2 linked regions of the Stegostoma tigrinum genome follow. The protein of the gene in region 1 interacts with the protein of each later gene in a biochemical or structural test. Links are inferred from orthologs where the notes say so. Each region holds a gene or a part of one and is shown in the gene's direction. Other genes may lie near its edges.

Region 1 (17,316 bases):
TCTAATGGGAGTTTGGCGTCCATCTCATCTGCCCAATGGGGGAGTCTGCAGCTGCAAAGAAGGCAACTGATGCTCCTGTTTGTGTCACTTCTGCTGTTGCTTTGGCAGTGCCTCAGAGGAGATGGATGGTGGAGCTGTATAAGGTGCTGTAATGCTGTGCTGAAGGTTAGCAGCAGAAAAGAGTGATTGAAAGTGAGTGAAGCGTTTGATAGATGACGGGCCCTCCAAGAATGGCAACCGCCTACCAAGCTTTGAACAGCAGAGTCTTCATGGCCATGTAACTGATCAAACTCAGAAGGTCACATTGGAAGCCTGACCCAATAACAGCTTTTGGAACTTTCATACCTGAACTGACTTGTGAAGGCTGGGAAATTCTGCCCCCTGTCATTTTGTTCATTAGATTGGAATCAATGAGCTGTAGTGTCCAATAAACTTGGGATTTAGCACTAGATAACCATAATTTTCATTCAGTCCTTAAAATAATGCAAGTTTGTGCTCACTGGATAGCTGCTACTTAATGAAAATTTCACAGGAAGACCATCACTAGGATTTCATAAAATCTCAGAAATTGTTTATCATTTGATACTAGTGACAATGCTGCCAGACTAGAAGACAACAATAGTTACATAGGGAAACAGTTCAGAAATAAAATGACCTCAAAGTAAATTTACATTTTCGTCACAGTTGGCAACATTGGAAATCCTTCATCAATGTCAGAGAGGAACGCTCGTGTTTCAATTATTTACTTTAGCAGTCATTGGAACTGGTCTGTGAGTCCATAAGAAGGACAGAATTGATTATGAAACTGAGACCAATTATACTTTTTAAACACACAAATGCAAATAACAACTCTGCTATTGCTGCTAAACTAATTCTTATGTTTGAAATCCTTTATTGTGCTTCAATATCTTTTTCTTAAATGGTACAGGTATGTCTACTCTCTAATTTCCTTTAATTGATAATAATACAGACTCAGATCACTGAACTATGCAATAAATATCTTTCTGTTGATATCCAAGCAGTTTCCCTGCTCAAATATCTTCAGTCAATTGGTCATTGTTAATGACAACTTCATATGCAATTTTATTTTGTTTTAAATTATTTTTGAACAATATTAGAACATGGAACAGTACAGCACAGTACAGGCCCTTTGGCCCATGATATTATTTCCTAGTTTATGCACCATTGAGATTTAAGCTCATATTTTATGTTTCACTTGGTTAATTAGTATCTTTTTCCATGTTTGAATAATAAATGTGTACTTCTGAATTATGATGCTGAACTTTGCTGTGCCAAAGAGCTTTTTATTTTCTGAAGAAGGGCCTCGACCTGAAACGTCAGCTTTCCTACTCCTCTGATGCCGCTTGGCCTTCTGTGTTTATCCAGCTCTACACCTTGTTATCTCAGATTCTCTAACATCGACAGTTCCTACATTTGATACATTTTTATTCAATTGGTTTATTCAGCGTTTTACAGAGACTATTTTCAAGTATAATGACTAATTATTTTATTGAAGTAATGGACTCAATAATTTTATACAATGTGCACTTATTAACTTTTAACACAATAGAATATCTCATAGTGCTTTTCAGAAGCATTCTCATGTAAAAATTGACATCAAACCACAACTGAGATATTAGGGTAGATGGCCAAAAGCATGGTCAAAGACATAAGTATTGAGGAGCTTCTTCAAAGAGGAATGAGATGGAAAAAAAAATGTTCAGGGAAAGAATTCCAGAGTTTGATGTGTTGGCAGCCAAAGCATACCTATCCAAGTGGAGACAAGAACGTTGGATCCAGAAAAGGTAAACAAAAAAGGGAAAAAAAGAGGGAGGTAAAGTATAATGGAAGTGATAGGCTAAAATTTGGAGTTAATGTTGATACAGCATAACTTTTACCAATATGGCCTGAAGTGAAGAAATGCAAGAGGGCTAAGGTCTGTGTTTGAGACTGGGAGTAAATGAGAACAGCATTTGGAAAATTACAACCATGTGCCTTTAGATTTAATAATTCATAAAAGTTGATGGAAGTAGTGAATTATATTACTCGTGATAATTAGCATGTTTCTCCATACACTACAGTTATTCTGCTAACAGTTGTGTCATGTTTGAAAGCCTCTTTTTGGTTGCATTGTTCAGGATTCTACATTGGACACTTGATTGAAAACAGATTAAGGGGAGATATGGTCCAGCTAAAGTTGTACATGGTGACAGTACAAATGTTTGGAGAACAGCACAAAAGGAGAACATTTGGCTCATTATATCCATAACAGCTCTTAATTGGAGTAATCTAATACTAATCCTATTGCTTTAATGCTGCTGGTCTGTATCTTCCTCTGCTTCAAATACTTAGCTACTTATCTTGTAAACACTTCAACCATTCCCTATGGCAAAGAATTCCATGCTCCAATAATCTTCTAAGAAATTTCTCCTTACAATTCTATTGACAATTCCATACTGCTGACTCCTCAACACTCAAGCTTCAATCAGAGGGAAGACTTTCCCTATTCATATGATCCAAAATTTAATAAAGCTTTAATAAATTTTCTTGCAGCCTGATCTGTATCTTTGGAAAAAGATACGCTTCATAACTGCAATTTTTTTATTCATTCATGACATATGGACTTCACTGGCTAGCCAAGCATTTATTGTCCGTTCTGATTGTTCTTGAGAAGATGGTGGGAGGCTGTCTTCTTGAACTGCTGCTATCCACATGGTGTATTTACACCCTCGTGAGGGTGGGAATTCCATGGTTTTGACTCAGTGGCAGTGAATGAATGGCATTATAGTTTCAAATCAGAATGGACAGTAACTTGGAAGAGAACTTGCAGACGGTGGAGTTCTCATGCATCTGTTGCCCATGTCCTTTGAGGTGATAGTGATGGTAGGTTTGGAAGATGTTGACCAAGGAGAATTGGTGAGTTACTGCAGTGCATCTTGTAGATGGTACACACTGCTGTGACTGTGGATTGGTGGCAAACAGAGTGAATCTGGAAGGTGGAGGATAAGATGCTGTCAAGTGGGCTGCCTCAACCTGAATGATATTTAGCTTCTTGATTGTTGTTGGAGCTGCACTCATTCAGGCAAGTATTACACACCTGACTTTTGTAAAAGGTGGACAGGCATTAGGGAGTCAGAAAGTGAGTTATTTGCCTCAAAATTCCAAACCTCTGACCTGCACCAAGCACTGTAACTGTGCCCTAGTTATAACCTTGCACAGGTTTTTCATTACTTCTTTACACTTGTACTCTTTTGTTACTTTTAAAATGCATGCATATTCTTTAATGGCTTTATGTGATCTCTAGATTGTTCTGCTCATGCTCATCCTTTCATGTTCTCCTTCATAAGCCTACTTCCATTCCTTTTTATTCCTCCAAGAATAGATAATTGGACATGTCTCCATAATAAATTTGACTAGCCATTCTGCTTACTTGCTTATTCCCTCCTGAAACTTATATCGGGTCTCCCTATTGTTTTGCAAACCTCTCTTTTTATATTATGGCTAAGTTTGAAATTCTGCTGGCTATACATAAATCTAAATGGCTTAAATGTAACAAGATGAAAATGGACGTAGCACTGAAAGGTGCATTTCTTCCACTCTTTTTAATACGAGCAATACATATTAATATAACACCCCGTTTCATGTCCATAGACTAAATTTATATCTACGTAACTCAACTTTTATACCACACACCAGCATTTTTCTGACAAGATTCCCTTCAGACATTTTATTGAGTTCTCTCAAAAACATGTCTCAACCCTGCTGCATTCGCTTTACCTGTACATGCCTAAACAAAATTAATTTGCCAAATATTACCTTGCTGCTGATGTCCTTGATTGTCATAAAGTTCTGAAAATGTAAACTGGTATGACAGTAAGACTTTTAAAAGTTTACCTACAAGTAACACAACAATAACTGTACTATAATTACCTAACATATCCTTTTCTTTCTTCTTGAACAGGGTCTACCCTTCAGGACCTCTGCATTGTTTCCATATCTATGGATAATGTAGAAATGTAGTCAGAACCTTTCTATTCCATGTTAAATTCCTTCCACTGTTCCATCCATAAAGTTAGAGTCTAATGAATTAACCATTTGAGATCTGCTCGGTTCTGAATCCTTTCCACAATGTTCCAGCTTATTCTCCCATAAGTCAGTAGTCTCTACTAATCTTAAAGTTGACTCACAGTTAGTTTTCATTATGTTTATACTATATTTAGAGACACGACAATTATATTTATCCCTGAGCAACGCAACGTTCTTTTCCAATGTTCCTTTACTCACACTATGTTTATAAGAATCTTTCCAATTTCCTTTTTTATAATTGGTGAGCCTTTTATAGTTTTCACAATTTGGCATTGTGAGCCTTAGTTTTATCATATGGCTTTTTATACTAGTTTTAGTTTGGAATTTTCTTCTTAACCAAATATCCCACAGTTTGACATTCTACTTTATAATATAGCCATGTTGTATTCTTATCACTTCATATTTGAAGATTCTCCACTGCTGCTCAGTTGTTGTATTTACTAATGTACCTGTTCAGTCAATTTGGACAATACCCATCTTAGAGTCATGGAGATATACAGCATAAAAACAGACCTGATGGTCCAACTCTTCCATGTCGACCAGATATGCCAAATAAATCTAGCTCCATTTGGCCCATATCCCTCTAAATCCTTCCTATTCATATACCCGTCCAGATGCCTTTTAAATGTTATAATTGTACCAATCACCTCAACTTCTTTTGGCAGCCCATTCACTACACGTACCACCCACTGTGTAAAAGGTTGCCACTTAGGTCCCTTTTAAATCTTTCCCGTTTCACCTTAAATCTTTGCTCTCTAGTTTTGAACTCTCCCACTCTCTGAAAAAGGCCTTGTCTGTTTGCCCTATCCATGCACCTCATGATTTTATAAACTTCTGTATAGTCACTCCTCTGCCTCTGATGCTGCAGCAAAATAGCCCCCCTTCTATTCAGACTCTCCCTACAAGTCAAATTCTCCAACCCTGGCAACATCCTTATAAATCTTTTCTGAACCCATCCGAGTTTCACAACATCCTTACCATTGTAAGGAGGCCAAAACTGCACACAATGTTTCAATAGTGGCCTAACCAATGTCCTGAACAGCTGTAACATGACCACTCAACTCCTATACTCAATGCACTGACCAATAAAGGCAAGCATTACAAAAGCCTTCTTCAGCACCCTGTCTACCTGTGACTCCTGGCAAAGGGTTTCGGCCCAAAATGTTGACTTTCCTGTTCCTTGGATGCTGTCTGAGCTGATGTGCTTTTCCAGCCTCACACCTATGACTTCACCTTCAAGGAACTATGAATCTGCACGCCAAGGTCTCTTTGTTCAGAAACACTCTCCAGGACTTTACCATTAACTATCTATGTCCTGTCCTGATTTGTGTTTCCAAAATGCAGCACCTCACATTTATCTAAATCTCATTAATGTTTTAATTTCTGTTCCAATCCTTCACCCTTTCATATTTGTTGCATATTCCTTTGTTTTCACGTTGAATATCAGAGTGCTGTGATTGCTTTTTCTCACATGATCTGCTGGCTGTCCAGTTATTTATTTTACTTTAAATGTTGACATGGTCCTGGGAAATGTTTTCTTGTGTTAGAAATATAACTAGATTGGATTGGAAAATGCACATGTATTTAAATGTAAAATTAAACTGGTAAAGTAGCCAATTAATAATATTTTATTACATTAGTTGTAAAACACAAAATGTTTTGTATCCACATAAATAGTATCCAAGTATTAAAAATTTTCTTGTATTCAGCAAAAAAAATCTTTAATGCTTGGATAAACCATCCAGCCAATTAGATGATATGGGGTCTTACTGAATCCAACAGTTGCCAGGTTTCTTGAAACTAGTGCTGCTGATTGCTGCTGAATGATTTGAAGTCACACAGTATCCCATTTACTCCTCACCCAGCACTTTGAGGTATCTCTGTCAGAGATTCACACATTGCCAAAAACTGGAGCTGGCCTAGACCCTCTTTTGAGATTCATAATCTGATGTACTACAATTATAATATAACCAAACTACTGCTGCACCTTTCTTTGTAAGGTACTGACGTTCTTAATTCATTGCTACAATGTTTACTTGACAACAACACCTAGGAGCTCACTTGATTTTCTTATCGGAAGGGGGGATCTTGAGGAGTCGGTAATCATATTTGCTGAATATACCCTTAATTGTAAAATGCATGGGATGGATATCTTGAAACAAAGAATTGAATATGGTCTGTAGAACAATGGACATGAGCAAAATGAAACTTTCTTCCTCCGCACGTTATTTTATTATTAGTTTATCTTGCTACAAAAGCTTTCACCCATTTTGTTTTGAAATTTGCAGAGCCAGTTCCAGAAACTAAATTGGATCCGTACAGAAATGCACTGTTAACTTGTAGTAGAAATTCATTTTGGTAGAACTGGATACAGCAGTAAATAATGACTAGACTTTCCCAGGTGGAGTTTTTTTCAATCTGATGCACACTGTTGGAATAAATATATTTTCTGCCTCCTGGTTGGTACAGTCTTTAATCCAGTTGCAAAACAGCATTGATTTCTTGATAGAAAACTATCCCTAGTTTAAATGTAATTGACAAACTCAACAAGGGAGCACCAAGCATGATTTCAATGAGAAACTGACATAATGTTTTCACGGTGGAATGGTGAATGCTATCCTGAGTTTGGAAATTAAAGTATATTCTTAAAGCAGAGTAAAGTAAGTTTTACTCTGTATTTGGCTGTGCTCTGTATACTCTGGTACAGTTTGTTGCTGTTATTAAGTTTTTCTAGATAGATCAAGTTTCATTTCCATAATACCAAAACTCCTTGCCTTGTTGAATATAAAACATTATAAATAAACCCCACTCACTTCCAGGCAGATGTATACGAATCACAAGAATAAAGTAAACTTTGCTGTCTTTATGCTTCTATCATGCTGAGTGAAGATACACATTGAGAATCTGTTGAGATGGAAATAGTATCAAAAATAGTCTAGGAACTCTTAAAAAAAACTGTTGTCTTGAGGTTGTGGTTACACCATCATTAGAACACATTGATTGTATTGTTGATATGTAATCCTTAGCCATCAAGAGTAGAATAATTTTCCTTTTATTTATAAATAAAACTCTGTAATTAAAAAAGTTAATATTGAGTTCCAAAAGGTTCAATATGCTAAAAATGTCAGTAATTATCATGTTAGTTTGATGAATTTTTTAATTTTAAATGCTACTTGTGAGTTTTGTTTGAAATTGATTTCTTGAATTCCATCAAATTGCTGTTTGCATATGTTAGTTCTCGCATGATTATTACTTTATTGCTATTATTACATAAATATATTTAATTTGAAATACTGATGCTGTGTCATTTATTAATTGTTAATTAATAAATTATTCTGATTAATTGTAGCAAAGGTGCATGAATGGTTTCCTAATAATTTTGAGGGTTAGAATTCTGAGTAATTGTGCCAATTTCTTATAATCTAAACTTAATAGAGTTTTAAAAGATCACTGTGTACTTTGCATAACAATAGTTTGAATTATAATTGGACGACAGCGAATAATTATAATTATGCTTGAAATTAATTGTGAACGGATAACTGAGACAAATACTATGTTAAACAAAAACAAGTCAAAGGCGTTTGTAAATATGTGACTAAAGGCATAAATTGCTAATATTTCCAAGGATTAAGATAAACGAACTGTAACAGTTTCAATGTATTCTTTTTAAATTAAAATCATAATCCTAGGTTAGAACGAATGGATAACTAACGAGATGTTCAAACAGAACGATTTACTTGTAACCCTCTGTTGGAAGAGCAAAAAGCATCTTATTCGTGAAATGTACTCCCTCCAAAAGCCAAAACATCCACACATCAAACAAATGCAGTGAACATCAAAGACTTGTTCAACTTAATGTACAACTCCGAAAATTCCGACAATTTGTGTTTAAGATCTTATTATTACAAGATATTCCCGTTTTAACCAATCGACACGCAGTTGCGAAAAAAATTCTGAGTGAAACGAAAGACATAACGTTGTTTCAAGTTCTTCTAAAAGACCATATTTGCATGATTGGTATAACTCGCAGTGTTCGTATTCACTCCAATTTCAGTTCTAGTTAAAGGGTACCTGGCCTTGAAGGTCTCCTTAATTTTTGAGATTTATTTCGCTGTCTGTTATGTAATTCAGATTTTCTTGCTTACATTAATGACAATTCTGACATTCATTTTTACTTAAATCCCTTTGCCTTTTAATATCATTTACTCCATCCCTAAAATTAGTGCATTTATTATATGCAATAACAGTCGTATCGTTTACGAATACAGTTTTGATTTCTCGAATATTTTGCCAACTAATGCTATATAAAGATCCACACTCTAAACGTGTACAATCAAACCTCTGATTTTGTCTCCGTTGCAGTTTTGTAAAGTTAATAGACAGTGCACATTCATGTAATTCATTTACGCAGTCAAAAGCAGCTAATTTAAGAGAAAAAAAAATCCAGTTGCTTCTGATCAAAAGTGAGATGAAGAATTGAGAAAATTTTCCTGGAGAAATGTGGTTACAGTAATTGGTTTCTGATTCAATCCCCCAAATGCGGGGACCATTCTTTATCTGCACTGGTGATCACTAAACAGGATGATGCTGTTTCAAGTGCTGGTTTTAAATAACGTGAAAAAAGGGGAATTAATATAATAGCCAGTGACTCTTTTTTAATCTTTTTTTGTTGCGTCACTTGATAATCATTGTGTCCTCGCATAAGAGAACAATTGTTGAGATTAAGAATCAGTAAGTGAAAGAGATGACTTTTTGCCAAAAGGAGGTTGTTGCAACCGTCTCCCAAACAAAGCCTAGTTTTAACTATCTCATCGTTTGATTGATTAAGGCTTTGGATAAAGTTCCGCGCCAGACTGACAGGGTTTTTTGAATAGCCACTTCCAAATAAAGCCCACTTGGATGGCTGTGCTTGAAGATCAGAGTGTACAGGATGAGTTTACTGGCAGTTACCAAGTGATAAATAGAGGACTCAGACAATAGTACCTTCTCTGAGGACAGACGGGCTTTACAACAGTCCTGGCGTCATATCCTGCTGTGGCGCTTCTGCTCTCAGCCAGAGCACTTCTTTCTCTCTTTTTTTGCTTCTTAATAGTACATATATAAACCCCAGAATATGTGAAGGCTTGATTAGTCTGTGATCATCACAGTGCCCTGCCTTTTACCTGAGAGGCTTTTGTTTTGCAGCCCTCAACCTGCAGTGGGACTGTCCCACAACGCGCCCCCAAACAGCAACTTGATCCTGCCAAAGTCCAGCTTGGTTTTAAGAGACCTATAAGCAAATAATTGTTGGTGAATTGCATTACAAATAATCGCTTATAATATCTACGAACGATGTGCTGCCTTCAGAGGCGTTCTTGACTTGATTCCAAAAGCAGAGTTTGCCCTGAAGGCACTCTACTTTATTGTGTAAGGAGCAGCTAAAGGACGCATTTCTAGATCAGTGGCCCGATAATGAATGAAAGCTGTCGCGAAAGGCAACAGGACAGGTTGCTTTAGCTGCGGCAGGCGCACGTTCACTTTTGTATTTAAAAACCATATTTTTTCCAGCGATGGGGAAGGAAGATTGCGCGGATTGGCCAATGAAAACACACGTCTCCACAGAGAAGACTCTCGCCTATCCGCCAATCAGAAAGCAGGGGTCTCGATGGAGCCAGGGGTGGAAGAACTGATAAATTCTCCAGGTCACCGTCCCAGCGACTCCTGGCTGTGACTCCAACTCCTAACCCTTGGACCACAGTTGTACCTGTCACACATACGCAGAGCAACAAAACCGACCATCAGCACCGACTTCCGAAACTTCAGGAGAAAAACTCAGCCAACTTTCTTCAACAACCACCCCCATCACCGAGCCCCCCCCCCCGCCCTTCCCTCACTTCCGTCGGAGTGTTTGGGGGTATCACATCTGCTCAGAACTGAAACAACTGTACAACTTGCCTGAAGTCAGCTAGCCTACGTGGATTTACCTAAAAGTGGTCACACATTTCCTTTAAAAATAGATTTTCATTTCCCCCTTCTCCCTCTCCTCCTCCTCCTCTCCCCCTTCCCCTCCTCTCGCCCCCCTGTCGGCAACGCACAGGAAAATCTGGGAACTGAACGCCTTTAAAAATGAGCACGTTGGCTGGACCCGTCCCAAGAATGATGCGGCCAGCCCCGGGACAGAATTACCCTCGCAGCGGCGGGTTCCCACTGGAAGGTGAGCCGCACATGCTTTAACTGACTAAGCACATTCTGGGGTTTCTAGTCCAGTTCTTTAAAAGACGCCGTTAGTCGCGCAACCGCAGAACCTTAACTCTTCTGTACGAGGCGAAAACAATATGAGGCTTTCCCTCTCCAGATTGTTTCAGACGTAGCTGTAATTGTCTTGGCCTTTTCCGGGAGAAACCCTTTCCAAAGTTTCTCGGAGATAAAGGGGCGTTCTGCGATTATTATGTTCGGTGTATCCAGTGAGTAGAATCGTACTGCGACTTGAACTCTCTTGTGAGCGCAGTCGTGCACCAGATACACCTTAAAGTTTAACGGAGACACTCTGTGAAATCAATCAGAAACAAAACTCCTTCGCCGTTTCAAATACCTTTAAAGTTTTGCCTTGACCACATGTGAAAAAGCGCTGGGTCCAATCCCTGCGCTAGACAGTTCATTGTAAACACGAACTGCGTCGGATCGGTGAATCTTCAAACTAGATTTAAAAGAAAGTTGAGATTTTCAGTTCCTACATAGAAGTTTGGAAGGCGTGTGTGGGATGGGGGAGATGGTTGAATATATATTTTAACTATTGCAGTGGTAGAGTTGGGATAACGTCCCCTCATACCATATGAATGTACAACTTCAGATCTTAGATCCAAACGTCACCATTCAATGTTAAAGATTATTGTAAAGTGACAGCTAGGAACGAGGACAAATTCTATACCAAAAATCTATTTTGTTCCAGCATATCTCCCGCAAGGGAATCGAGTAAGGTACAGAAATCCCACTGTCCACTGATGTGTTCTTAACAACGTTGTGATATGTTTTGATTTCCTCTCCAAATCGCTGTTTGTTCGGTAAAAATTTCAACACATTTATTAATGCTGCCGTTTTCACTGCAAATAGTGTCAACGCCTTTAGGTCAAGGGAGAGTGAACCAGCTCGGAGGAGTTTTTATAAATGGCCGGCCTCTGCCAAATCACATCAGGCACAAGATAGTAGAAATGGCCCATCACGGCATCAGACCGTGTGTCATCTCCCGGCAACTGAGGGTCTCCCATGGTTGTGTCTCTAAAATCCTGTGCAGATACCAGGAGACGGGTTCCATCAGACCAGGTGCCACTGGGAGCAAACCCAGGGTAAGTCGATCTAAGCTCTTCTGTTATTTTATCAAATGCTTGCTTGATGAAGTGTTGGAATTTGGTTGATGTGAGTTACCGCATCATGAAAGGCATTGCGCTCGTTCACCTGAAAAGTGTGTCCGAATGGAGCTGTTGTCTCTGCAAGCTTTTCGAATGCGCTTTAAACACAGGCAAGTTAGATACTCTGAAACCACCTGAGGAGTGTAGTATCGTCTTTAGAACTGAAATTCACATCCCGTATTTGCAGAAAGCGCCCTAACATTTACACTGCCTATGTGTACAATCGTAAGACTCACGAGCGACTGTCATTATCAAAGCGTAGCAAATAACATGAGCTGTTTTTATCCAAATGTCGCTATTTCAATAAAGCTGAAAGTTCCTGGAACAGAATAATTTGACAGACATAGCCCACGTCGTTCAAACCCACTTATTCAACGCGGTTTGTTGAACGATGCAGTAACATTTGATCATCCGAATCGGGAAACAGGTTAGGCAATCTGAGGGACCAAAAACTTAAAACTCCTTCAAAAAAACTGAGGGCACGTGTAGCAATGAAAATGCCATAACTAAACTAGCGGGATTGCAAAGATGTAATCTATTTAACTATTGGATTCACGATTCGTATTCGCAAAAATAATAAAGCTCAATTTAAGGTTCACTACAGTAACGTATTCAGATTGGATTTATTCCATACCAGAAGAATCAGTTTTTTTTCATTCTCGCCTGATATGCAATATATTACATAAACGTGCAAGTTGTTTGATATTTTCTTTGTGTATGTCCATAAAATTAAAATTTTGCTCAACCCTTCGGTGGGGAGTGTTGCATTAGAACACATGAAATTAAGGGAACTCTTGAATAATTTAAATACCTTTCAGCATTTTCTTTATCGGGTAAACTTTGTTTCTCCACAATCGAGTAGGATGGTCAAACTGTTCAGTACTCGTTTACAACGCCAAAAACGCACGTTATTACTTGATTCGTAGTTTAATTTGTAATATGGATTGTTTTGTCACAGACAATTAAACACGCAGGCTGTAATGACCAACGATCATTATAATATAGCCCATTAAACACGGAACTTGTACAACAGCTCACCGCATTTTCAATAAAGCGCCTGCAAAGTTCAAGTGCTGACCTACAGTTGTTAACAATCAGTAAAGCGTTTGCACCCCGTTTTGTTTGTTCTTTTTGCCCTTACGTTCACTACAAGCCAACTTCATAAAATAAATAGTCTGGATCAGTAACCAATTGTATATGCCTGGGAGAAGGGAACTACGTCAAATAAAAGCAACTGACCATATAAACGTTGAAAAGTTCCTGATTTTAGTTTTGTGTTAAATCATCTTGTATGCAAAGTATTTTTTCTAGGATTTTGATGAGAAATTGTAAGGGCAGTAATTTTATGTCGGGAATTATCGGAACTTGAAAATACAGTATATTGTTGCTGATTTAAAATTTGCATACCTCTATGAATGCAAATAAGAAACAGGCCATTCCCCCCCCCCCCCCAGAGCTTATTAAACACAATTGTAAATCACGTTTTATTTCTCTTTTTGTAAAAACATCATTAATAAAGCAAATGGCAATACCAGACGTGGAAAAAAAGATTGAGGAATACAAGAAAGAGAATCCTGGAATGTTTAGTTGGGAAATCCGGGATAAGTTGTTGAAAGACGGCATGTGTGATAGGAACACCATTCCTTCAGGTTGGTTCAGTATTTGTGATTTTTTCGATGGAAACGTGGGTGAAATGGGTAGAAGGAATCTAATAACAATTTAACTAACATAGAGAAATAATTCTTCTGGCTTCATCTAAGCCTGGAACTGCCCGTAAACATGTAAAATGTGTCCAGCTGCGCAAACCAATAAAGAATGCTTAAACAGCTCATGGTTTTAACGAATTGCTTCAAGTAGGTTCCGGGCTTTAATGCATCCAATTAAAATAAATACTGTGTGAATTCACTTTAAGTGAAACATTATTATTTATCAGGATCGTCAGAAAGCAATGTTATAAGGTTATGATAAGCTACCATTTTGCAGACAGGAATTATAGTCTACGTATTTCACTAAGAAAATAATTCATTGCAAGAAATTGAATATGCTTTTGCCACATAGATGTTGATGCTGAAATGTAATCTTTTTATTTTAATTTCATCTTTTCAAGATTAATATTGTTGGGAAAATATTTTTTAAAAGACTAGTTTTATTCGAATTTCTATACTAATGACTGAATCCCACATTATTTGACATTTAACTACGCGAAATATAAAATTTCGTCACTGTTTTAAATTAATCATTTGATCTTTTTTAAACAAAAAAAAATTTCTTCCAACAAGTGAGTTCAATAAGTCGCATTCTGAGGAGTAGATTCGGAAAGAAAGAGGAGGAAGAGGAAGACTGTGAAAGGAAGGAATATGAAGACTGCGATAAAAAGACCAAACACAGCATAGACGGCATTCTGGCCAGCAAGGGTAAGAGGTGGAATTCGTCTCATTACTGGTGTATTTTTAGCAATTCCGAAGTATTAATTTAAATGTTTATTACCAATTTTATTTTTATGGATAGGCATTGGGGAATCCCAGAACGATTATTGCTTTACATGTTTTGATGGTGGGTGGGGGCGGGGTGGGGGTGTGATGGTGGTGCTGGTATCTCTTCGTTTAACGTTGCACCAAAAGAAAAGGTTTTAACCAATTTAGAATACATAGATGAAAGTTCATATACCCCACACTGGTGTAGTAACAATTACACTGCCCGAGACGAATGCGACAAAATGACCACGAGCACACAGTTGCCTGCAGCTGTAAATGCCTCGATGCCCTTAGCTTTGTTTTGTGGTCCTGGTACTTTCCGAAATCAGAGAAAATGGACGGAAGTACTGCTTTCGTTCTGTCTTGTGAGTTTTATTGAGCTGGTTTCGGGTGGTAAACTTTACGCCAAGGTGTTAAAACAATTCAAAAAAGTTATAGCAAAGGGCGGCGATTTCAAAGTTGGATACCCAGCGTGGACAAGCCTTATCAGCACAGCAACCTGTTGATAGTTTGCCGCTTCATTTGTGCGCCAAGATAAAGAGACAATTTTCAACTTTTACTGTTTGACTGCAATTTAGTTTAGAGTTCGGGAATGTTGTCAGGAGGAATGGGTTTAATTCTATACGGTCGGTTTTCGGAGATTGAGAAAGTAATCGTACCGTTTTTACATTGAGTAAAGGACACCAAGAATGTCAACAATTCGGCTATTCTTGCTTCAGTGTTGCCGATTTCTTCTTGACTTTAAAGACATAGAACTCAGTTTGAGATCGCAGGTGTAACGAGCCTGTGGAAACAAACGCTATGAAATAATGTTCTTAATAACAATCCAGTGTAACTGTGAAGGATGGAAAATGATTTTAATATCGATTTCAAAAGTCCAGTAATTAAATTTTAAGCAAATTTGTAAACTTCTGACACCACAACATTTGGCGAAATCCGCGATTTTAAAGCTTTCGTCCGTTTTTGGAATTTGGCACCGGTTCTGAAGTCTCGGACCGATAATGTACGTAGATGCAAAACATCGCAGGACCTTTATCAAAATGTAGATAAACTAGCCTTAGATTCTACTATTTGAAATTGACGATCATGTCGATTTCTCATTACTACATGATTCCAAAAGGTTACGAGAAGTGCGTCAGGTTATCTATGATTTGCCATCGAATTGGGTTATTTTTATCACTCCCTTGAGTTTGAGTTTTGATCAAATCAGATCTGGACTAAATTACTTGATTCCGTTTCGACTAAACCTTATCAAGTCGAGATGATCTATGCTACTGTATTCGAATAGAATCATTCATGTTGCAATATTAGAAAGACATAAAATCATAAATTGTGAAAGAAGGGTTTCCGATAGAAAATCCCACTCTGAGTGAATTATACTTTAAATACATCTGTTATAAACAGTAGCCCTAGAGACAAAAACCTTCTGATGTCATTACATAAATCATTCGATCAATTTTTAAAAAATAAAATAATAAAATAATCTTTTCAGCTGATTGTCACAGAAATGCTGAATCACCACTAACACGCAATTGAAATTGATAAATTTACAGCTTTTGGGTTGTTTCTATAGGTTGAATTTCATGATGATCTATTGAATCCACTCAACCTTTTTCCTTCTGTATATCTTTCGCTACATAGAGCATCCATCTCATTGAGAAATACCAAAGGTACTTTACCAAACAAGGGACATTACCCACTTTACTCCGAATTTTATTTTGCGGGAAGTCAGGGGGTTAACTGTTTGAGAATAACTGTTCTGTCAGCTCCTTCGTCACATCTCTTGGGAACTGCAAGTTGTGTTTAATATGATGCCACAAGCAATAAAACGGGACATCTGTGGATATAAAACGGGACTGTATCTAATAAAAACGAATAGATGGCTCTGTGGTAGGGTAACGAATACACCTCAGTGACCTAACGTGTGTTAACTACCTTTAAAATACAATATTCGTTTTAACGGTTTCAACTTTAATTGTAATTGAAGGGCTGTCAAACGTTGTCTAATACTTGAAAGTCAATGGCATTTCGCAGTTTTGACTGTGGGGCTTTTGACTAAGCAATAGCTCAGCCTAAGTTGCTCAAATTATACAGAACCCAACGTACTTCACCAACCCTTCAATTTTATTTTGTAACAAACTTGAATAATGTAGACTTCAACTATAAGACATTAACGACTATTTAGTATATCAAACTGTCCCTGACTTACTTGCCAATAGTCTGCTAACAATGTTATCTAAAGCGGTTTCGTCTAAAAAAAACGTGCAATATTAATTTCCTGTGTATCGCTTGAATCTCGTCTGAAAAGTGGCTCCGAATGAGTGGCGCAGTCTCCTTGGGCTGGTACGGAACTGGGGGCGACAGTGATGCTACTTGTGAGCAGGTTCATGACGCGTGAGAGCTCGTTTGTAGCCTGCACTGTTTATTGATCAGATTAATATGCCATCTTTGCCATTTGAATTGTCCGAGTGTATATTTAACGAGCTCCTATCTGGATCATAACACCGAGGAAAAAAAAGTATCCCAGTGTCTCATTCTAACTTGTTGGGCATTGTTGCGATTTGATTATCTTCTTTTCCCAACTAACAAAGTACCTTTTCGCAAAGACATGTTTTGTTAATCAAAACATCGAATCTGTTTAAAAAAAAGCTAGAAAACTCTTGGAAAAAGTGTATAAATTTAAGTCCCTTTTAACATTAGCCTTGTGCACAAGCTTTGACACAAAGTGTCGCTTGTTGCTGGAGTCCATAGACCTGCCCGAATTTCGCTGCAAATAGGATCTTGAGTAGACAAAAACGACCAAATGAGCTGGTCAAACATTTGTACAACTTTTCCAGCTATACAAAGAGGTGCTTGAATACACAATCCACACTTGGAGATGAACTTGGAAAACAAAGAAGCCTGAGTCCATTGAAAGTTACACTTTAGGCTTGGCGGGACAAAGCCTATGCCAGTGACAGCTTGGTCGCCACAAAAGAAGGCAACCTTTTTGTAATTCAGAGAAAAAGAAGAACAGAAACCGTCCAAACAAAAGGCTGAGAAAAGACATTATGGGCTTGCAATGAGGGATGAATTATTCAGTGATCTCCAGTAGCAGCCAGTCCTTGCAGTTTTATGGACTCTCTCTTCACCGTGGAAAACTAGCCATTTTCACCTACAAAATGTTTCTTTTGCTATCTTTTTAGACGTGTAAGATGCCGACTGTCATTCAAAAAAAATACAATTGGCATCATTCGATTGAGCGAAGGCTTTGATTTAGGGGCTGGCGTTAGGTTGGAAGGCGAAAAGAGGGAAGAGTGCTCAGAAAGCCAGCGATTTCCTCGAGCAAATAGGCGAGAACTCAGCCTTTACAAACGGCTATATTTTATGTG
Region 2 (16,622 bases), on another chromosome or scaffold:
GATCAATGACCAGGGGACATAGAATTAAGGGAAGGAACAGGAGGGTTAGGGGAGACTTAATATACTTTTACACCCGGGTGAGTGGTGGGAATCTGAAACTCACTGCCTGTGAGGGTGATAGAGGCAGAAATCCTCATAACATTGAAGAAGTATTTAGATGTGTCCTTTGATTCCAAGGCATAAAATGCTTCTATAAACTGCCCTTTCACAGTGATCTGGGCAAATTAGAAAGAGGACAATGCATTTCAGCCTCTCCAAGCTGTTCTATATTCCGTTAGATTCCGCATCTCAATTTTATTTCTCCACCTTTACACTACGCCACTTCACACAACCAAACTCCAGCTTTATCATTCCTGTTGCCTCAGTTTGCAATGCTCCTTAAGGCATGGTTAACTCCAACTTATTTACTTGTAACAACCCACGTGTGAAATTCCTTCTTTTCCTTATTTTGGAAAAAAATCACCAGAAATAAACAAAGCCCTATGTCACATTTATCGATTGATTTCACACTAAGATGAAATATTCATGATCATGGGGTCATCCTGGTGAATGGCAAGAGTCAAAAGCAGAACGAAAACAAGCTTCTCTCCTTTTGCAGAAATCATGGGAAATTCTGATGACGTGGGATCATCGAGTTAATGCCGAGGTGGTTACACAGTCTGTGTTGTGATCCCGACTGTCTTTGGCCTCCAGTGACTTTGTCCATTGCTCTGCTGATTGTGCAGATGTGGGAATGAACCTAAGACAAAGGACCCAACTGTAGCTCTTTATCAACGCCTTCCCACTGGCTCTCCCACACGGGGCACCTCCTCAAATGATGCCTTTTCATCAGGCCGGCACTGAGGGGGCCGGCTGGCATCACAATGCCAGCAGCTTCACTGTGTTGCAAACTAACCACTCTCACTGTCACCAGCACCTCATCCTTCAGAGGGGCATTACAAATGTTTCACCTTCCCAGCATAGGCCTCCTCGCTGACAGAGTCAGGGGAAGGGCTGGGGAAGTTTGTCAAAGTTTGTTGGATCCAAGGGGCCATGATGGCATTGTGTCTAAATAAGGGAGTGGTTTTATATGCTGACCTTTAACCCTCATTACACGGGTAGCTTCTCATTGAGGCTTCGTGTTCCGGAGGGTTGCACTGGGGTTTAGTTTGAGGGCCAGGGGCGGTTGAAGGTTTGAGGGGCGACCAGTTGGGAAGGGTTAAGCAGTGAAGGATTGAGTCAATTGACAGTGAGGGTATGAGCAGGGGTGAGGGGGTGACCGCGGTAAGCGGGTGAGCAGGTTTGAGGTTGAGGGGTGACCGGGGTGAGGGCGTGAGCAGGCTTGAGGGTGAGGGGGTGACCGGAGTGAGGGGATGTGCAGGGGGGAGCAGGTGAGCAGGGTTGGGGGTGAGGGGGTGACTGGGGTAAGAGGTTGAGCAAGGTAATGATGAGGGGGGGAGAGCTGGATGGGATTGAGTGGGGAAATGTTTAGGGTCACGAGGTAGACTGGGGGGAGGCCGGGGAAGGTCAGTGGGGTGGGGGGGACAGGTTATTGAGTTAGGGTCAATTTTAGAAACTCTCCCCCATTCTGAAACTGGCTCCCAATTGGTCATCATCCAAAGTGTTGTTGCTTATTGCAGAGCAAACCCACAAATCCTATCAGTCTAACCCAGCCCAGGCCTCCTACATCTGCAACCATTCAATGGCTCAATTTTTTGAGGAGAAGATGCCTTTTGGCCCATCTTGATTCTATCTTTCCCCATCATGGAGCAGACAGGCCTCAAGAACCCCCTGCGAATGCGATGTATGCCTAGTCATCTGGCCCAGGTATAGAGGGGATGGATGGACTCTGAAGAGTTTGAAGAACAGCAGCAGCCTTCTGAGGATGAAGATGGGAATGTGATGCAGGGGGAACATCATCTTCGACAGGATAGAGTGCTGCAGTTTAGAGTGCAACACCCCAGGCAGGACTCAACCGACATCCAGTGGACCTGAGGTGGATGAAGTGATCGCTCGCTGACTGTAAGTTTAGGTAATGCAATGGTAGTGTCCCTCCTCCAGACCATAAAGCTGAGGTTCTAATGAGTGTGCTCCATGGGTGTGCAATAACAGCCCTGAACAGGCTGATTAGAAAATGCTTTGATGGTGAATATACTTGCCAATCACAGCCCATTTACTCTCAGGCACGAATGCAGCGGTATTTTTGCTTGTACTTTCCTCACTTTCCTTGTTGTTTAATTTAAAGAAAAAGCTTTAACAACTGAAGTCTTTACAAAGTGTGCTGTTGCCAGATTCGGCAATGACATGGCATTGTGCTCTGCCTGTGTTAGGGAGAGATCAATGGGTGTTAACCACAGGGAATGTTGTAGCCACAATGACAGGGAATGTTGATCAGGGAGGCGATGTCACAAGGTGCCGATAGATTTACAAAAATGGGATCAGTGCATGGCAAGAGAATTGAGTGAGAGAGGTCATGGAGGGCAAGTCTCCATGGAATTCCCTGGAATAGACACTCAGCTGTTTTTTTGACAAGATTCAGCCCAGTGTCCCTGATTCGAATCCAGTCCCTCCCTAAGAACGGGGTCACATCCATTCTGCATCAGCACTGTCAAGCTCCTTCAGAATGTAGGGTTCACTCCTCATTAAAGGTAAATTGTGAGAGAAACCCCTCCCTATTCCTTCTATCTGAAAACAGGAGAAGAAAGGGGAGAAGATGTGGTGATGATGCAGTGGAAGGAGCAAGGTTGAGACTGGGAGCTGATCCAATCAGAACCAGAAACAGCATGTTTAGGCTAGAGGTCAAAAAAGTTTCCTTTCTACAAGAGGGCAAACATAGCAGCTGGAAGCATGTGTAGGAAGAGTTGATGAGTCCAGCACACACAAAAGATGTAACGCAAGGGTTGATGCTTTGAAAGGATGTTCAAATAGCTCAAAACAAAACCCACCTCGTGATCTCACATATTTACAAAGTAATGAAAAGATCGAGTCATGATTCTTCAATACTTGGAGAGGTTAGGGAAAGAATCAATAACAGTAATTATTCTACAACTCCAATTTGTACAAGTTAATTCCATTACACTTCAGAAATGGATAAGAATCGTTTTAAATAAAAACTGAAAGAATTGTGGAAGCCATAAATCAGAAACACACACAGAAATTTCTGCGAAAGCTCAGCAGGTCTGGCAGCATCTGTGGAGGGAAATCAGAGTTAATGTTACAGCGCAAGTGACCTTTTCACCCATTTTTATTCATTCATTCACAGGATGTGGGCGTCCCTGGCTAGGCCAGCATTTATTGCCCATCCCTATTTGCCCAGGGGGGAGTTGGAGCCATGAGTAGGCCAAAACCAATGTGGATGGTGTACCCGAGCAGATTTCCTTCCCTCCAACAACCAGACAGGATTTTCCTGACATATGACACCAGGTTCATTAGAACCTTAATTCCAGATTTTTGACAGAATTCAAACTCCATCATTAGCCATGGCAGAATTCAAACACAGGCAAAAATACCACTAAACCATACCAACTCCCCGCTGTCCTTTAAACTTTGTTTTCAATTGTGCACATCACCGCCTGGCCTCATACTTATTGCCTGTCCCTAGTTGCCCCCCTTGAGAAGGTGGGGGTGAGCTACCTTCTTGACCCACTGCAGTCCATGTGCTGTGGGTTGACCCACAATGCCCTTAGGGAGGGAATTCCAGGATTTTGACCCAGCGACAGTGAAGGAATGGTGATATATTTCCAAGTCAGGAGGGTAAGTGGCTTGGAGGGGAACTTGCAGGGGGTGGTGTTCCCATGTATCTGCTGCCCTTGTCCTTCTAGATGGAAGTGGCTGTGGGTTTGGAAGGTGCTGTCTGAGGATCTTTGGTGAATTTCTGCAGAGCATCTTGTAGATGGTACACACTGCTGCTACTGAGTGTCGGTGACAGAGGGAGTAGATATTTGTGGATGTGGTGCCAATCAAGCGGCTGCTTTGTCCTGGATGGTGTTGAGCTTCTTGGTTATTGTTAGAGCTGCACCCGTCCAGGCAAGTGGGGAGTATTCCATCACACTCCTGACTTTGCCTTGTAGTTCCGAAAAACAGTTGTTGGATTTCAGTCATGAACTCTGCTTTTCTCTCCACAGATGTTGTCAGACCTGCTGAGTTTATCCAGCTCTTTCTGTTTTTATTCCAACAGTCCCACAGCTGCATTATTTTACTTTTATTTGAGCCTTATTAATTGTGGACAGATGTTGAGGAGTCAAGAGGGGTGTTATTCATTGCAGGACAGTGCGGCACTCCCTCAGCACTGACCCTCCGACAGTGCCACTCCCTCAGCACTGACCCTCTGACAGTGAGGCCTTCCCTCAGCACTGACCCTCCAACAGTGCGGCACTCCCTCGGTACTGTAGTGGAAGGATCAACGCAGGGTCTGTGTGCTAGTGGATGGGACCTTTCCGTGTCCGTACCACGCAGTGGCCTGGAGCTTAGCAAAGAAGGACGATGGAGATCAGTGTAATAGGATCCACGTGGTTGACATTGCAAATAATCAGCCTGGTCAGCTGCGTTATTGAGCTGTTGGAGATAATGGGAACTGCCGATGCTGGAGAATCCAAGATAACAAAGTGTGTAGCTGGATGAACACAGCAGGCCAAGCAGCATCTTAAGGAGCACTCCTAAGATGCTGCTTGGCCTGCTGTGTTCATCCAGCTACACACTTTGTTACTGAGCTATTGGGAGTGTTTTACTGAAATTACTCCAACCATGAATGGCCAGCACATAGAATTCAGTTATTTTCTTTTACCTTGCCTGAAGGTCCATCTCAGAGTGCGATTACATGGCAGCTTGTTTGTTTCAATACCACAGTGTCCTCCTCATCTCAGCACCTCGGGTCCAAATGCAAATCAAAGGAAGAGTGAGGCAATTGGTTAATGCCAGCCTTGGAATCTTGCCTACAATCCTTTCTTTTCTGGATAACCAGTGGGCAAAAGTGGAAACTGAAGGTAATTCACAGACCTTGCTCAAACACCAAGCTAGGATCTACCTTGAGAACCTGGTAGTTCCTCACTGCATTTTCAGCGAGATTCCAGCTCAGCTTCATTGGGTGGAAATTGTCTTGGTCAAAGTTGTGTCCAATTTTCAGTCCTGGGTGATTCGGCACAAATCCTAGTGATCAACTCATCAAATCAGACTGCATGTTCCTTTGGTCGTTTGCTATAGGCAGACCACAAATTATACTCAATCATCCTGCTGTTGTAAAACCAAAAGCAAAACATCTATGGTCAGGATGTGATTATATATTTGGGTAACAATTGCAGAATAATTCAGAGCACAGCACTGATAACCGATATAAGATACCCAGCTGAACTCAGGGTGTCATGCATTTGTATGTGCTAAAAGCAACATACATTCAGAAATAGGGCACATTCTCTACTGAGAGAAAGAAACATGCTTAAACCCTGTATCAGAGACAGTAGGAACTGCAGATGCTGCAGAATCCGAGATAACAAGGTGTGGAGCTGGATGAACACAGGCCCAGCAGCGTCAGAGGGGCAGGAAAGCTTGATGTTTCAGCCTAGACCCTTCATCGGAAATAGACCCTTTTTCTGAAGAAAGGTCTCGGCCCGAAACGTCAGCCTTCCTGCTCCTAAGATGCTGCTTAGCCTGTGTTCATCCAGCTCCACACCTTGCTATCTCTGCTTAAACCTTATGCCTTTTTGGAATTACCCACATGATTGAAAAGCCTGTAGTTCCCCATTTTCCTCTCCATGGCAACAGCTTAGCAAATCAAAGTTGACCTGACAACCAACCATGGTATAGATTGTTATGATTGCTTGAAATTTGGCATTCTTGTGTTGGTCCTGATGTGTGCACATCTCTCTGTGCAGCACTTGGAAGTTTTAACTTAAGAAACGATTGTATGTCTTTTGAAAGAAAAAAAATGAGTGCCTTCTTCAAAAGGGATACAGTATCAGGATGGAACAATTAATTCGCAAATAGCTGTGAGTGAAGGTTTGGGAATCAATGGGGCTACAGTTTCTTAATGAGTGCAGATTAATTCATGGCAATTATTAAATTGGTTCCGTGTAACTTAATGGCAAGCAGGGTTGATGTTTCACAAGAAATATTTCTGCTCTAAATCTTTTCTCTGATCTGCTAGGATTTAATCACAGGGTGTGGGCTTCATTCACGGGTCCGGCTGTTCATGCCCATATTTAGCCATCTCTTAAGAAGATAGTGACAAAATCTCATCCTGAAACACGACAGCTCATGTTGAAGAGTTACTCCCACGATGATACCAGATCATCCGTTCGAGGATGTTGGTCCAAAGGTTTAGGGAAGGAATTGCAATACATGACCAGTTCAGGATGCTGTGGAATGTCCACAACAGTGCAAACTTCAAACACTCCCACTACACTGTCCCCATAAAACACTCTCAGCACAGGGGCAGCACGGGGTTAGATACAGAGTAAAGCTCCCGCTACACTGACCCATAAAACACTCTCAGCACAGGGGCAGCACGGGGTTAGATACAGAGTAAAGCTCCCGCTACACTGACCCATAAAACACTCTCAGCACAGGGGCAGCACAGTGTTAGATCAGAATAAAGCTCTCTCTACACTGTCCCCCCCCAAGCACTCCCAGGACAGGGGCAGCACAGGGTTAGACACAGAGTAAAGCTCCCGCTGCACTGTCCCCCATCAAACACTCTCAGCACAGGGGCAGCACGGGGTTAGATACAGAATACAGTTGCCTCTACACTGTCACCCACCAAACACTCACAGTACAGAGACAGCTCGGGATTAGTTAAAGAGTAACGGTCCTGCTAAACTGTAACGCTTCCTCTACATTGTCCCTCCTCAAACATTTCCAGGACAGGGATAGCATTGAGTTAGACACAGAGTAAAGCCCCTCTAAACTGTTCCCACCAAACACTCTCAGGACACTGGCACACAGCAAGATCCCACAAACCGCAGCAGAACAACCATAGAGTCATACAATAGACCCTTCAGTCCAACTCATCCATGCCGACCAAGTTTCCCAAACTAAATTAGTCCAATTTGCCTGTGCTTGGCTTATATTGTTCTGTACCTTTCCTGTTCATGTACCTGTCCAAATGTCTTTTACATGTTATAATTGTGCCCAATAGAGGGAGTGCTGTGCTGTCTTTTGGGCGAGGCGTTAAACTAAGACCCTGTCTACCTTCTGAGGAGATGAAAGAAATCCCACTGTGCTATTCTGAAGAAGAGTAAGGGGGTTCTCCAATGTGTCAAAATCAATCTTCATCTCTCTGTCACAATCACTTGGGTGTTTGGAATATATGCCTTCATTACTCAGACCACTGACTTAAGGAGTTGGGATGCCATGTTGCAGTTGTACGGGACACTGGTGAGGCCACATTTGGAATACTGTGTAGCGTTCTGGCTGCACTGCTATAGGAAGGACATTATTAAATTGGAGAGCGTGCAGCAAAGGTTTACAAGGACGTAAAACAGAAGTTGCTGGAAAAGCTCAGCACGTCTGGCAGCATCTGTGAAGAAGCCAGTTTTGAGGAAGTATCAAAACATGACACGTTAACTCTGAATCTTTTCTTCACAGATGCTGCCAGGCCTGCTGAGCTTTTCCAGCAACTTCTGTTTTCGGTCCTGATTTTACAGTATCCGCAGTTCTTTCAGTTTTTATTTACAAGGATGTTACCAGGAACAGAGGGTTGAGTTATTTGGACAGGCTGGATAGGCTGGGACTTTCTTCACAGGAGCATAGGGGGTGAGGCGTAACCTTATCGATTATAAAATCACGAAGGCCATAGGTAAGGTGCCCCCACGCCCCCCTCCTCCAGGATTGGGGCGTTCAAAACTAGAGGGCATAATTTTAAGGTGAGAGAAGAAAGGTCTAAAAGGGACCTGAGGAGCAACTTATTCACACAGAGCGAGGTTCATATGTGAAATGAATGCCAGAGTTAGTGGTAGATACACTTCCATCCGGTCCATGTGTATGCAAGGAACGTCATTTAATTTTTGCAAAGATACCCGCTATCTTCTGGATGTGACATGTCGTTGTCCTTTCCCTAGAATGGGGGATCTCAAGACCAGGGGGCTTTTTTAATGTGAGAGGAGAGAGATTTAAAACAAAACATATGGGTACTTTTTCTCACACAGAGCGGTTCAACTGTGGAATGAACTTCCTGAGGAAGCGGTGGAGGCTGGTATAATTACAACATTTAAAAGGCATCTGGATAAGTACGTGAAGAGGAAAGGTTTGGAGGGATATGGGCCAGGAGCAGGCAGGTGGGACTAGCTTAGTTCGGGATTATATTCGGCATGGACCGGTTGCTCTGAAGGATCTGTGTCCGCGCTGTACGACTCTAAAGCTTCTTAAGTTCTTCAGAACCGAAGAACAGTCAGACTGGACTGGAAACATTAACTCTGATTCTCTCTCCACAGGCGCTGCGTGACCTGCTGAGTTTCTCTGCGCAACGTCCAGCATCTGCAGGCCTTCGCCCTGATTCTGACAGGTCTCTGAGCACAATTCCACATCTACACAAGTGAAAGCCTCAACATGCCTCCACACTCGCACACTCCACACTTCCGGATAATGAAGCGGGCCCCGCCTCTGGGTGGAGTCTAACGCCTAAGCCCTGCCCACCCATGGAGAGCTGTCCAATCGCTGCAGAGCTCCATGGGGGGCGCCAAGAGCCAGGCAGAGTAGCCAATGGGGGCTGGGTATGGTATTTAAAGCTGAACGACCGAGCACCCTCACGTTTCTTTTTACAAAAACTTCGGCTGTAGCTGGGAGTTGCGCAGCCTCTGCTGTTGAATATCCCCAGGAGGAGGAGGAAGAGGAGGAGGAGGAGTGGGAGTGGGGGGGGAGGGGGAGAGGGAGAGGGGGAGGGTTGGGGAGGGGGGGGGGAAGCAAGGAGAATCCCAGGGCTGAGAGGACAACTCATTCCATCGGATGATGCCCACTGTTTGCTCTTTAATTAAATCTTTCAACACTAAGAGAAAAACAGAACTGGCGTTGTAACTCTGGAGGGACCTGCAGAACGTTCACAGAAAGTTAGTTGGAATTTCTCAAGCGCTGAAGAGCTGGCACTGACAAATCTTAAGGTGCAAATCAAGTTTGACAACTTCCAAAAAAACTTTTTTTGTCTTCTCTCTGCCCTTCTCTGATTGTGTTTCTGAAAAAGGAAAGGGTTTGTGTTCCGGGGAATGAATTAATGTTTATAAAGGCGGCTCTAGACTCTCTCTCTCTGTGTGTGTGTGTGTGTGTGTGTGTGTGTGTGTGTGTCTAGCCATTAGCGAGCTGTAATCGGGTTTATTTTTTTACTTGGAAGGGACCATGTCGGATGATCGGAGCGTGTCAGACGTGGCGAGCTCGGGAGGCTCAGAGAATGAGTCGGTAGTTTCTCCTGGATCCTCTCTCGCTCCTGATGGAGATGAAAAGTTCCAGGCTGGCACCGAGGAAGGCAGTGGCAAACGGGAGAGCGAGGAAGATAAATTTCCGCTGTGCATCCGAGAAGCGGTGAGCCAAGTGCTGGAAGGTTATGACTGGACCCTAGTGCCCATGCCGGTCCGAGTCAACGGCTCCTCAAAGAATAAGCCTCATGTCAAGAGACCTATGAACGCCTTCATGGTGTGGGCTCAGGCCGCAAGGAGGAAACTAGCAGATCAATACCCACATCTCCACAACGCGGAGCTTAGCAAGACTCTGGGCAAACTCTGGAGGTGAGTTCAACACACGCGCACACAAAAAAATCTCCTAAAGAACTGAGCGAAAAAACACCAGAAATTGCTGGAAAAGCTCAGCGGGGTCTGGCAGCATCTGTGGAGAGAAATCAGAGCTAACGTTGCGTGCCCGGTGACTCTTCCTCAGAACTGAGGATACTGACATTCAGAAACAAACACAAAACTAGCTGGAGAAGCTCAGCAGGTCTGACAGCATCTGTGGAGAGAGAGAGTGTGTGTTAATGATTCAAGTCTGGTATATCTCTCCTGCTGAACTGATCTTTGAGTTGTTGTAACATTTAGGACATGCAGACCGCATTTGAAACGTTAACTCTGTTTCTGTCTCCGCGAATGCAGCCAAACCTGTTTTTAAGTGTGTTTCTGGAGGTGAGTTCTTGAGGGTTAAAACCCCTTTCCCCTTGGAGCATTTCAGATGCCAGCACCCTCCAGCCGAATAGAGGGCCCGCGGAGACGCGACCTGAGCTGTTTGTGTTACTCAAATGCGAATTTTTGCCTAGCGCTTTCTGGGTTTTGCTTTACATTTTGTTTCCGTTGTAAGGCAGGCTGGACAGAGAGAAACGAAATGCCTTTCATCAAGCTCTTCAGCCCTGGGTTGAGAGGTGCTAACTTCTCAGCCGGGTTTAGGGGCGACAAAGTTTTGGGGAATTGGAAATCGTTTATGGAGCTCTGGTCTAATTTAAATAGTGGTTTGCTCAGCCGGATTTTTGCACCAGTCCTTCAGAAGCATTTGCCAGTCATTTTCCATCTAACGCAGACTGCAGATACACCGAAATAGGAACCCACTGTTGCCAGAACTTCCTGCGTCGATTCCAAACTTTTTGTCTGATATTTACTTGCTACTTTTACAGGTTCCAACTGGCTTGTCATTAAATTAATTACTTCTCAATGAACAGCTAAATTATACAAAGCAAACATTACTTTGTGAATATTGCTGCCTTTGTTTAGTCTGTGAGGATGCATTCAAAATGTTTGCAGACCTTTGTCTTGTTATTCCCAATTGGAAGAAATTCTGAATTGGAATGGGCCGGGGAACTGGGTTTGGAGGAATTTGCAAGGAAAAGCCTTTCTCTGTATGAATCTTCAGTCGCCACATTTCCTGACTGCAAGGAATGCCCACCACATCCTAACATTGTGAGGGACAACTGAAAAGTACAAAATATAAAAAGAGTGAGGGAGGAGGTGCTGAAAAGCTTAGGTTCACTGAGCAGGGAGAGACAGAATGAGCAGATGAAAGAGGGATTGGGAAAGGAGAAAGGTGGGTAACGACAGGAGGAAAAAGGGGTTGGAGTGAGCGTAAGAGATGGACTGAGGGAGGAAAAAATCTTCCAACAAGTAAAAGGGATAGAGAAAACTGAGCAAAGAATGTGAAGCTTCAAATGGAGAGGGAATGGGGAACAGGAACGAAGGATACACTGAGAGACAAGGGGGAAAATGGATGAACTGTCTTTGCCAATTATGCGTGTTGTGGCACCTCTCTTAAACCCCTGTTACAAAATAAAATGAAAATGAGCTCAGTAGGTCATGCTACAGCAAACAAGATCCGTCAACTTCCCATCTCTAATTCTTCATATCCTATGTAAATTAGCATTAAGTAGTCACAGACTGTGAATATTCTAGCCAGTGCAAGATAATATTAATTATAGGAGTAACTGGAAGGCAAAGTACAGGGCTAATGGTAAGATTCTTCGCAGTGTAGGTGAGCAGAGAGATCTTGGTGTCCATGTACACAGATCCTTGAAAGTTGCCACCCAGGTTGACAGAGCTGTTAAGAAGGCATACAGTGTTTTAGCTTTTATTAATAGAGGGATCGAGTTCCGGAACCAAGAGGTTATGGTGAAGCTGTACAAAACTCTGGTGCGGCCGCACTTGGAGTATTGTGTACAGTTCTGGTCACCGCATTATAAGAAGGATGAGGAAGCTTTGGAAAGGGTGCGGAAGAGATTTACTAGGATGTTGCCTGGTATGGAGGGAAGGTCTTATGAGGAAAGGCTGAGGGGCTTGAGGCTGTTTTCATTAGAGAGAAGAAGGTTGAGAGGTGACTTAATTGAAACATATAAAATAATCAGAGGGTTAGATAGGGTGGATAGGGAGAGCCTTTTTCCTAGGATGGTGACAGCGAGCACGAGGGGGCATAGCTTTAAATTGAGGGGTGAAAGATATAGGACAGATGTCAGAGGTAGTTTCTTTACTCAGAGTAGTAAGGGAATGGAACGCTTTGTCTGCAACGGTAGTAGATTCGCCAACTTTAAGTACATTTAAGTCGTCATTGGACAAGCATATGGATGTACATGGAATAGTGTAGGTTAGATGGGCTTGAGATCGATATGACAGGTCGGCACAACGTCGAAGGCCGAAGGGCCTGTACTGTGCTGTAATGTTCTATGTTCTATGTTCTATGTTCTATGATATGGTCAAGAAATTGGGAGCAGAGTGAGGCAGAAAAATGGACAGAAGGTTTGAGGGGAAGCCTAAGCAAGAAAGGATAACGTCACCAGTCCTAGCAAAACATAGGCATGTCCTTTGGGGAGAGACCAGGGAAGGAGAAGTGTGGTGGTGGGGACAGTATTATATTGCCAACAAAGACAAGTACTAGAGAGAGGGGTGGCAGGAGAGGGGAACTGCCCCCAACCCAACTTTTTCTCTCTGTGCAAATTGCCTGTGAGAGTGCAGTGGGATTGATGGAGTCAACAGCAAATCACTAAATGAGGATTAACCAGATTGCCCTGTGTGCTGGAACAGGGGAGAGCCTCTGGAGTTGGGCAGGAATCAGAGCGTCTAGCCGATAAGAGGGTGTGATGGATCAAGTTGGATTGGCTCCATGGATGTGACTCACCGCCTCAGTACAAAGGATGTGGAGGCACTTATGGGAGGGTGTTATGTTGGGTGTCACATTGATGCCAAGGAGAGGTCCTCACCGTGGAAGTGGGTGTTCCATTGCGGTGATTTGTGGGAGCTGTGCTGGTGAAAGGAGGAGGAACAGTAACACGCTGAGTCATTCAGCCCCTCAATTCCAGTTAGCCATTGAGGAAGATCATGGCTGCTGTGAAGCATCAGGGGCTTGCATGAGGTGTACTGGCAGAAATTTCTGATGATAGTGTGTATTGTCCACACCTGAGAGAGAAAGCAAAATGATTACCAATAGACACATGAGGAAGCAGCTGAGACCCTATGCCCTGCAACCCCCACCTCCTGCCAAAACACTATTGTCAGGGTGACCATGGGCAGCACTCTCACCTGGCAATATTCTGAAATTGAAACACACCCCAGAGTACAGACAGGCAGACGCTCCTGGTGTGTTACTGAGGGAGCGCCGCGCTGAGGGAGCGCCGCACTGTTGGAGGGTCAGCGCTGAGGGAGCACCGCACTGTCGGAGGGTTAAGTGTACATGAATATTTTGACAGCCATGATATGAAGAGGAGTAGTGGAAATCTCACCCCTACTCCTGTGTCCTGGCCAACAATTATCTTTGTAGTATCAAACTAACCCTTAAATCAGGTACATTTTTCTCACTATAATAAGATAATAAAGTGTGAAGCTGGATGAACACAGCAGGCCAAGCAGCATCTCAGGAGCACAAAAACTGACGTTTCGGGCCTAGACCCTTCTAGAGCTCTCTGATGAAGGGTCTAGGCCCGAAACATCAGCTTTTGTGCTCCTGAGATGCTGCTTGGCCTGCTGTGTTCATCCAGCTTCACACTTTGTTATCTTGGATTCTCCAGCATCTGCAGTTCCCATTATCTCTGACACATTTTTCTCACTGATGTGTTTACTGTCCTGAAAATCCATTTGCTACATTTGAGCCATGACTGCCCTTCGAAAACAATGCATTAGTCATGTGACACTTTGGAATTTCCTGAGGTTGTAAAGGATGCTATTGAAATGCAATTTGTTGTTTCTCACTCATATCGTAATTAAAGAGAATAAAATAATAAACTTCAAACTGGAAAAGAAAGCAGCACGGAGGCTCAGTGGTTGGGCAGCGCCAGGGGCCCGGGTTCAAATCCAGCCTCGCGTAACTGTCTGTGTGGAGTTTGCACATTCTCCCTGTGTCTGTGTGGGTTTCCTCTGGGTGCTCTGGTTTCCTCCCACAGTCCAAAGATGTGCAGGCTAGGTGGATCGGCCATGCTAAATTGCCCATAGTGTTCGGGGGTGTGTGGGTTATAGGGGGATGGGTCTGGGTGGGATGCTTCAAGGGGTGGTGTGGGCTTGTTGGGCCGAAGGGCCTGTTTCCACACTGTAGGGAATCTAATCTAATAAATCAGCAGAAGGTTATTGTGTTCTGGTTCAAATGCTCACTTTATCGTCAGGTACTGATCAATGTTCTATGTTTATCCTCCACTTTGATCAACTGATTTATCCATTACTGTCCTGACTGATATCTCACTGTCTAGCCCCACTGTCACCTCATCCAGGACCCTGCTGCTAGATTTGAACCCTCATCCTCCCTCCATTCACCTATCAGCCTTGGTCTTACTGACTTGCGTGGGCTCCCCATATCAGGCAACACTCCAACTTTAAGCCTCTGATCCTTGTTTACAAATCCCTCCATGGCCTCACATCCCCATCCCTTCCCTTTTTCTCATCTCATCCAGTGCTCCAACCTCCCCAGATCTCTGTACTCTTCTTCGTGTGTATCCATGACCTGCCCACAAACACCCACCCTTGCATTAACTGGGGCTAATGGTGGAGCGGTGTCATCGCTGGGCGAGTAATCCAGAAGCACAGGCTAATGATCTAGGGACATGGGCTCAATTCCCATCACAGCAACCTGGTGTAAACTAAATTCAATTCAGAAAATCTGGAATTTAAAAAAAGAAATAGCAAATGTTGTTGATTATTGAGCTGATGCATTAATGCCCGTTAGGGAAGGAAATCTGCCACCGTTACCCAGTCCGATGTGGAGGTGCTGGTGTTGGACTGGGGTGGACAAAGCCAGAAGTCGCATGACACACCAGATTATTGTCCAATAGCCTTATTTGAAATCACAAGCTTTCGTATCACTTCTCCTTCAAAGCACTCTGGAAGTTTGTGATTTCAAATGAACCTGTTGGGCTATAATCTAGTGTCATGTGACTTCTGGCCTTACCCAGTCTGGCCTACATGTGACTCCAGACCCACAGTAATGTGGTTCATTCTTAACTGACCCCTGAAATGGCCTCAAGACACTTGGAGATGATAAAGTCAACAATGAGTGAAAATATCCTTCCCCACACCAATTGGGTGACCACACAATTGTGCCATATGGAATGTTGGCCCAGACAGTGACACCCACGATTCCCAAAGACAAAGAAATAAGAGGAAAATTAACTTTCTGAATTTCTGACAATATTTAAAGTTGAGAAAAGGGATTTGGGAGTGGTAGGGGTGGAATGGCAGGGTGGGATGAATGGGATGGGGCTGAAAAATAGGATGTTTTCTCGACTACTGAAGCAATTTTTTTTGATCTAAAGAAAATGTTGCAGGGGTTATTTGGGGTGGAATCAGAACAGCTTACCAGCAAAATGTAACTGAGTTTGCAAAAATAAACTCTCTCAGCTATTTATAAGAAGGTGAGTAACCGGCATCCGGTAGGGAGCTGGAGACAGAAATCCAGCTGTCTGTGGTTTCTGGTGTTCAGTCACTCTGGAGCTGGTCTTGTAACTCCTGTCCAGGCATGTGGCTATGAGGAGATGCGTGGAACACGGGAAAGGGTTCGGAGAAAGCAGGAGGGCACCAAGGGGCAAAAGAGGATTTTCAGTCTCTTCAATCCAGCAATCATTCCGAAACCCGCTTCCCATCCATGGAATGGGTTTGATCTGACTAGGACTGTGGGAGGTTAAATTAATCAGTCATCTGGTTGGCCAATAAACCTTTAATCAGCAGCAGCTTTGGCAAAATTATTTAATTGTCAATTAGGCAGAAGGAATAATTTCTCACGTTGTATTTGATCAATTGATGTACATCAGGCCAAAAGAACAGCCTTGATAATGACACACATCAATAAAAGCAAGTTCAATGTCTCCTCAAACACCCCCAACATTTCAGTGAGGTTGTAATAGTTTATTATAGACTTCTGTCCATCAGTTCTAATCTTCAAATCCTCTCTGAGCTCACTCTCAATCCAGAAGGAGACCCACGTCATCTCTACACCTGAATTTTCCAAGGATTTCCTGGTCAGTCTCCCAGCTTCAGAAACTGCACAGTCTTTCCCCCTTCTTTCCTTCCCTTGTACCAACTCCTGGTCATTCATCATTGTCCCCACCCCTCACTCACGGACCTGCATTGGCTCCTGGTCAAGCAACATCTTGATTTTTAAAACTCTCCTCTTTGTGTTCAAATCCTTCCACTGCCTCCTACCTCACTGTCTCCCTGAGCTCTTCCAGCCTCTCAACCCTCACAGCCTCTGAGCTGAAGCTCTGGAATATTCTCGCAAAACCTTTTCACCTGCCTTCCCCTCTCTCTCCCAGATGTTCCTCAGACCTGCATATTTGATCAATCTATTGGTTGTCTGGCCTAGTATCTCCTTCCGGGTCTTGGTTCAGCATTATCAGGCTGTGATCCTGTTACCTTGGGATGGTTTTCCACACTAAAGCCATAATATATACTCCAGGCATTGTTGTTGCTGTGACAAGGTGTCTGGACTTGGCCAGGCGAGCATCACAATTGATCCACTTTTGAGCATTAGTAATTTTCGATAATGATACTGCTGTCTCCCATTCTGTGGAACCTCCTCAAGTGGTGAGGTCGGTGGGATCAGAGCATGCATTTATATGGGGTGGGGTTAAAAGATTAGAGCAGGCAGCATGATGGAGGTTGGCACTAGGTTTTCCCAAATCAGCATTGCTTGATAGAGGTATGCAGGTAGAAACAGCCTTGTTCCTTTAGCTCCCTGAGAGCAGTGAGCTGGAGTACAGGTTACACAGCAATAAATTCTCTCAG

What was found.
Region 2: the proteins of pax3b (region 1) and sox10 form a complex in vitro, tested with the Homo sapiens proteins (2 studies listed by BioGRID and IntAct). The link is inferred for Stegostoma tigrinum from reciprocal best matches to the Homo sapiens genes PAX3 and SOX10.

Annotation. Positions count from the first base shown.
Region 1 is NC_081367.1:23,444,309-23,461,624, reverse strand, and holds the start of pax3b (paired box protein Pax-3b), read left to right. Parts: upstream 1-9,731; 5' UTR 9,732-10,191; coding exon 10,192-10,279; intron 10,280-11,175; coding exon 11,176-11,408; intron 11,409-12,990; coding exon 12,991-13,120; intron 13,121-13,750; coding exon 13,751-13,885; intron 13,886-17,316. UniProt on the Homo sapiens protein: Transcription factor that may regulate cell proliferation, migration and apoptosis. Involved in neural development and myogenesis. Transcriptional activator of MITF, acting synergistically with SOX10.
Region 2 is NC_081391.1:23,832,788-23,849,409, forward strand, and holds the start of sox10 (transcription factor SOX-10), read left to right. Parts: upstream 1-8,870; 5' UTR 8,871-9,065; intron 9,066-9,292; 5' UTR 9,293-9,297; coding exon 9,298-9,683; intron 9,684-16,622. UniProt on the Homo sapiens protein: Transcription factor that plays a central role in developing and mature glia.